Linked DNA regions of Drosophila melanogaster. The gene in region 1 interacts genetically with each later gene. Each region holds a gene or a part of one and is shown on either strand. Other genes may lie near its edges.

Region 1 (3,755 bases):
CACTGACATCGGGGGTGTTGAACGGTCTGTATTTCACAAAATACGAGCATACATATATAAATTATAGCTACGCAAGAGCCGCATTTCTCAACATTCAAATACAATTGAGTAAATATGTTTATTTAAGAGCGTTCCATTGAAAATTTGATGAATAACTAAAGATAAAGATACAACATCTATGAGGCAAATAAAAGTTGGTAGCCACAAATACTAATACCAAACAATACGAATTAAGTGAATCGAAAAGCCAGTACCATTAAACTGCTTTAGTTATGGAGAACGTCTTCAATGACTGATATATAATTATATTTATGATTTATCTTCATTTTAGACCTCATTGGCTTCATTAAAAGTCGTAAGAGTATTGGGTATGGTCAATGCCCCGCTGTCACGTCAGATTGCAATATAAATAAATCGCGCGTAATTTATAAACCTATAATTGTATAAACAGATAACAGCTGGCGCCTCGCGTCAAGATCTTGTCACCTTCCCAGCATCGTAGTGTCCATATTTGCATTTCAATCGAAGTTGCCGATCGGCATGGAACTAGTATGGTAAGTAAGTAAGTACAAGTCAATGTTGTTAACTATTGCCTAATGATTGTCATTAGCAGGCGTTAGATGGGGATTACGACGATTGAGATCTCAACAGTTGATGTTGGTGCAGAGCAACAAATTAAGGGAATGAATCAATCGCTGCTTGAAATTGGGTTATTTTCGTTTTCATTTCGATTAAGGTATATCTTATCTGCGTGTCGGTATGGACAGCTGGATTTGTTTATTGTGGCGCAAAGAACACACATTGATTTTTAGCACTTGCAGCCTGCGTTGAGAACTTAATTATTGTGATTTCCCAAACGACGAACAATCAAACATTTAAATCATGTCCGTTTCCTGGCTATAAATAAACAATGGACAATGCCAAGAAGAATGTCAACCATCCCACGATTTTTCAATTGCGTGCTTGCACTTGATTTTATTTTATTTCTCGTTTTTCTTTATTTTACTTTTTTTTTTGTTCTTTGGTGTACTTGAATAACTTATAGGATTCCTTTTTTTTTGGCCATATCAAGGGCATTCAAAACTCACCTGACATTCGCATAGTGCTGGCCGGAATTCCAATCCACATGCTCGATATCCGAAGAGGTTTTGGCGTTGTCGCAAGGCATTTTGTTCGTAACTCGCTCTCTCTCTCTCTCTCTATAGCACTATAAACTCGATTGCAGGGTATCGCATAGTCGGGGCGATGCTGCACCGCAACGCGTGGGGGGTTTTCAACCCCAAAAAGGGAGGGGGGTGGCGGACGCGGGGGAGGAGAGCTCCTTTGTCTTTTATGCTGGCTAGTCTTGCGCCTTTGTTATGATTCTCCTCCGCTGGCCATATATTTGTTTATTCCCAACGATAAACAGAGGCTGTCGCCTTCTTTATTTTTAGCGACCCTGTTGGCAGGGGCTACTTCGATTTTTTGCACAATGTAAACCGAATCTATTGCACTGTTATTCTCCTTTCATTTCGTTTCATTTTTCCCTTTCAACGCCAACGAACTTCTGGCCGTGTGTGTGTTTGTTTGTGTTGGTTAGCTGGTCTATTATTATATCTTTATTCCGCGACAAACTTTAGTGCGTTTGCTTGTTAATTTGTTGTTACTGGCCCGGTACGAGCTGTTCGTTCCACTACTCTACGCTAAATGGCTATGCTTGTTAGAATTGCACATATATTTTATGTATTTTATTTAGCTAAACACGGAGACATATCCTTACACGATATCTACGAGCGACGCGACCAGTGTGACTGCGCCTACACAATTGAAACATGTCACATGCAGTGTGACCGTTCTTGGCTGAATGGAAAAGCTCTCACTCATATAAAATTCAATAATAGGTTAATAAAAAAAAAATACTGACTTATTTTTTAAATACAAACGTATTTACTCTAACAATATAAGTAAAAAGCTAAAATTATTTTAATGTCTATTTAGGAAACCTATCGATATATCGATACACATTTTTTTTTGGCCACCCTAGAAATTGCTAACGTATTTTTAGCAACAAATTGAATTCCAAATTTGGAAGTTTTGCTTTAGGTGCCCATATTAGGATACAAGCTCGTTTTAGTAATACAACAAGTAATTATCCCAAAAACAATATAGGTTAACTTTTTTCTATTTTAAAATATCTCCAAAATCAAAGATCAAAAGTATCCGGTTTTAATGTAGGTTTTTATTAATATACTTTTCCGTCTAATCCATTATTGACAGTGACTACAAAAAGCGGATAGATTTTATATTATGCCGATTTTTGATAACAAAGGGGGTTCCGTTTCGGTTTCGTTACGCGGGTCTTAGACAATAGTCACGATTAATCGCTACTGTTGCTTATAACGATAAATAAATGAAAGACAAAATAATCAGTGTGGGATCGGACCGAATAAGGAGCGGCCAGTTATTAGCCGCCTACAAAGTGTAGATCGATTTCACGTTGGAGCCCTGCTTGACCATCGTGTCCTTGTGCAACTGATACTGCAGCGAGTTGTTGCGTCCCAGACGCAGGGCATCGCGCAGCTTGTGACCAATCTCAAGGGCAGCTTCCTCGTTGTTTCCGTCGGCAGTCCAGATGGCTGGAAAGCATTAATCGTTAAACAAAGGAATTCCGCTGAAGTTGGGTGTGCGTGAAAACTTACATATCTTGTTGCTCTTGCCGCGAATGTTTATAACAGCGCCGCAGATCTGATCAGAGTGATCGAAGGCCTCACCAATCAGGCAGAGCAGCTGGAAGGCAAAACAGTTGTAGTTACTCATATGCGAAAAATATTTATGATATAAGCTCACTATTGAATGTTCCTAAGACAAAAGCTAGCACTAGCGTATTTTTAGCTGATATTTTCTATAAGTTATAATTTATATTGCAAAATCATACACCTATTTCTATATTTTTGCATTTCAAGAATGTACATTCACTATAAATAGACCATCCGCTCACCACTCGTTTCTTTGTGCACTTACCACATCGAGCCATAGGTTATCCAGATCGGTCTTGGAGCTTTTGTTAAGGGTAATGACCCAACGACCGCCCTGTTTGTTGGCTGCATCCTCCCACATGGGACTGCAAATGAGATATCAGTTAGTAAAGGTTATCTTGGCAGAATTGCAATAAACAGCAAACCCACCGAATGTTCTTCTTGAATAGCGAGTAGTCACTACCCAGCTTGATCTCTGATGGGGGCTTGATGTGGTTGTATAGGCTCCAGAAGTCCTCGACGGTATCGAAGCTGGTGATCTCGTTTTGCATGTCCTCCCAGGACTTGGACCGATCGTTTTCAAGGTACCACAGCGTCCAGACATTCATGAGCGGGTGTTTGTATAAATGCTCGGTGCGCACAGCATCGTCGCCGGCAGGAGCAGTAGTGGTTGCAGTGTTGCCTGCTGGTTCACCAGTCTCCTGTGGGTCCTCCTTGGGCTTGACATCCTTAGCCTCGGCGGGCGCTGCAGCCGAAGTTGGTGGTTCCGGACGACCCTGCTCGGTGCTGGGGGCGCTGGTCTGCGGGAGAAGATGGCAATGGATGGGAAGGGGAATCAGAAGATTAGATTAGCTTGGCTTAGCGACAGGCGCACTGAGAGTATTACTTTGAACATGGACTTGGGATTGGCAAAGTTCTTCATTCTGTGAAAGTCGCTCTGCATGTTGGCGGCCGTGTTTATTGGATGCGTTTGATGGTAGGATCAGTTCTTTTTCGGCTCCGGAGTGGGTTCGGATCGGT
Region 2 (3,755 bases), on another chromosome or scaffold:
CGTTTGTTTAGCCGTTAGCTTGTAAACGATGGCAATTTGCTGTCTGGCGGCACGTTAATAAAACTTCAAGTGCCACTTTGGGCCCGCTCCGATGGGCCAAAGATTAAAAAGGGATTCATGTGGCCACCTTCAATGCGAATCTCTGTGCAAATTGCCCATAAAAATGCATGCGAAATCGTTTAGTCGCTTCTCCCACACAATGGATGATGTATGGTCTGCCCCACAATGGGGCAATGGGCCAGTTTGGCCAAATTCCTTTCGATGCTCACCTGTGGTTACACTGCTGACAAGCGAAGCACTCCAAGTGATAGACATTGGTCCTTGCACGCATCACCATCTCGAAGGCTGGGATCACCTTGCTGCAGGCGGCGCAGTAGCCCGTGTTGCCAAACAATCTGCGGGGAAAAGTTATGAACAGATTAGTAAAAAGTTTGAAGTTTATATGGTTTACATGGTTCTGACTTCTTTAAGTAAACATCTTTACTCTTTGCTATTAAATTGAATATGCGTAAAAAAAAGCTTTAGGTAGAATAGGTACTGTTTAAATATAAATTACTCTTAGCAAGAAAGCTTCTTAAAGTCTTATAAAACTAAAAATAAGTCACAGAATATAATGAATACTTTATCTATAAGCATTATAGACCTGAGTTCTCAAGAATTGGTATCATTTTTAACTTCTAACATGACTAATGAATACCATCGTCTATTATACTTCTAGGTATATTACACTATCAAATGGTTTTAGTATTTCTTAAATCGCAGCTAACCTCAAGTAGTCCCGCTTGCAGAGCATCAGGTTGCCCTTGGTGTAGAGCGTGGAGCCCACCTCGCCCAGGCGGCAGTCGCAGCAGCCGCACTTGAGGCAGTCCTCGTGCCACAGCATGTCCAGGGCGCGGAGGAGATAGCGGTCCTGGATGTGCTTGCCGCAGCCGGCGCACAATTGGCTGCCGTTGTTGTTGTTATTGTTATTATTGTTGGCAGCGGCGGCGATGCTCTGGACATTCCCGTTGCCATTGTTGCCGCCACCGGCACCGCCGGAGTTGACCACATTGACCACGTTCCCATTGCCATTGGGATTGGGCCCGTTGTTCTGGCCACCGCTGTTCATGCCGGCGTTGCTTTGCTGCGACTGCTGCTGCTGCTGCTGCTGTTGGTTGGAGGAAAGCCCGACGAGACCGGGTTCGGTTTTGGTAATGTCCATAGTCATCATCTGCAAGGGGACAGGAGAAGATATAGTTATTACTCAAGGTTCCATCGCCGGAGTTTTGTGTGTGTGTGTACATTAAGGCTACCGAATCCCTGGTAATAACTGTAAGCGGAAGGGGCAAATCCCCAGGGCCACTGATAAGCGTACTGGGGCACGTATTGCCGCAGGATCGCCTGCTGCTCCAGCTCAATCGACTGCACGTGGGGCACGAAGAACTTGTCCATGTTGTAGAAATTGACGCGTTCTTCATCTTCGCAATGCATACTAGCGTTGTAGAGGTACTCCATTTCGATGTTTTCCTGTTTCCTTCGATTTCAACAGTTTTCTTACAAAAATGACCCGCGAAAGATCAGAAAGCTACTGAGTCTTCTTCTAGCAGTGTTGGCAGTGTTGGCAATACACAAACAAAATAACATTTTATGGCGTGTAAACTATCGTATGCTACTAAGTTCTCAAAAGAAAATAGCTCTTTTGTAAATAAGATGCACTAATCAATGCATTGGACTCATAAAAATAGTTTGGTAATTGTATTTTTGTTATATCAAATAAATTTTTTATAGCATTTTCCTTATTGTAAATTTCTTCAAGTGTCGGCCACTGGCAAAATGTAACGGCAATTATCAGCTGTGGCACAGTGTTGTGAAATGCGCGCCTCTGCGATGGCGTCAGTGTACAAAAGATCACTATTATGCAGCATACTTTTGGGCTGACCACTAAAGTGCACATTGGATTCGCACACAATTCGCAAACTATGCAAAATATTAATACCCCTTTGAAAATGCAATTTCCACAATGAAATGGTGTAATATTCATATTTTCATGACATATTTTCAGCTGAATAAAAAAAAACTACTTCTTCACTTGGGCTCGTCCGGGAATTGAACCCGGGACCTCTCGCACCCGAAGCGAGAATCATACCTCTAGACCAACGAGCCTCGTTGAATGACCCGCTGCTAATCACCCAATAAAAAGTTAGCGATCGTTTTTCGTACTTTCTCCTTTCGTTCAGCACCTTGCTAAGAAACTCAACCAGCGATGTTAAGGAACTTGGAATTTTTTTTTTTGGCCAATTACGATAATATCCCATATTTTTGGACTCTCTTCAAATAGTGCTCGTAGCCCCCAACATAGTATGTATGTATTATCCTCAACTGTTGTCGCCCGATAACGTTGACGTTAACAGAAACCAGCAAAGCGAGCAGCCAACAACAACAAATCAATACAAACAAAAGGCCCATTTACCCATACACAATTTCGTGGAATGCCAAGCGGCGATTTAAAATAACGAGATTTATGACAAATTGGCGCCCCCCATCCCTTGCCAACGCTAAATAGTTTGTTGCAATGTGCAAATTTCAGCAAGCAGCGAGGAAACCCTAAAAATATGCAATGCCAGCGATGCCGCAATGCACTCACTACACTGAACAATGCGGGGAATCATTGCATCATTTTTTTTTTCAAGAAACAACAAATAATATTTAATATTTATATATAAAAACAAGAGATAATTGTGTTCCTAAATGTCCTTGGCACAAAGTAAGAAGCTTATTTGGAATTTAAAATAATCTGCCTGTCAGCGAATCTCTTCAAAGTTTCAGTAGAAACTTTAAGTACTTTCACATTTTATTTTTCACAGTGCATCATTCTTTGCCCGCCGCAGAAGTTGTACACACAATGTGTGCCGTGTCTGGTTCTGCCTTTGGCCGCCTCTCTTTTCGCTGATTGCCCTCGTCCGTGTCCGTTGTCGTCCCTTGTCCGTTGCCCCTGTCCGTTGCCCATCGCCGGACAACCGGGCCAAATGGCTCGCATTAAGCCCTGCGCCATGTAGCGCCAACTGTGACCTCGACTTGACCACGGCCCAGAGAGTGGGCGTTGTGGGTGTAGGGGTTATGCAGCTGCTGGAAATGACTTTAATTAGACGGTCGCCTCCGATCCCCAATACCCACGTGCCCCCTCCCATCGCCAGTGAGTCGTCGGAGGGCGGGTCGAAAAGTCATCAGCAGTTGATGCCCGCCGGCCAGTCGACGGGGGCATCCAGAATGCCAGATGGGTTGGTGCAAGTGGATGCCTGGGTGGCTGCCACTGGACTGCTGCGCCGCCGACTCATAAAAATTCAATCAAATCAATTTATGTAAATTTAACGCGACGTTTCAAACAATAACAGGACCGGACTGGTGGACCGTAGGAGTGCAGGCCGGGAAATGGGAAATGGGGTATGGGGTATGGGGTATGCAGCGCATCAAAACTCAATTTTGGCAGCTGCAACATGCAACGCCAATGTGGCAGCGCAGACTGCATTGTTATTTAGTTTAGACAAATGAAATCGAATGCTAAACGCTGCTCGGAAAAGCGCGCGTCCATATTAGAATTTCATTTTCAATTGCATTGCCACCAGCGAACGCCCATTCACTGCCAAAGTGGGCGTGGCTGCATGAATGCTTTATCAGGCCACCGCCTTCCTTTCCACATTCCCAACCCCCCCTACTGCAGTTTCATAGTTTTGGCAAACACCCCCACCGGTTTTTCTCTGTGTGCTGGGGACGCTCAA

Evidence for each region. Genes that interact genetically often act in the same process or in processes that back each other up.
Region 2: of CG4080 (region 1) and Bx, changing one enhances a phenotype caused by changing the other (phenotypic enhancement), as found in Drosophila melanogaster (one study listed by BioGRID).

What each region holds. Positions count from the first base shown.
Region 1 is NT_037436.4:9,397,419-9,401,173, forward strand, and holds the start of CG4080 (uncharacterized protein), read right to left. Parts: upstream 1,810-3,755; 5' UTR 1,169-1,809; coding exon 1,089-1,168; intron 1-1,088. Other genes in the region: eIF4E1 (eukaryotic translation initiation factor 4E1), read right to left, coding at 2,452-2,615, 2,679-2,766, 3,001-3,100, 3,165-3,535, 3,622-3,678.
Region 2 is NC_004354.4:18,564,151-18,567,905, reverse strand, and holds the start of Bx (beadex), read right to left. Parts: upstream 1,601-3,755; 5' UTR 1,495-1,600; coding exon 1,282-1,494; intron 1,211-1,281; coding exon 768-1,210; intron 396-767; coding exon 270-395; intron 1-269.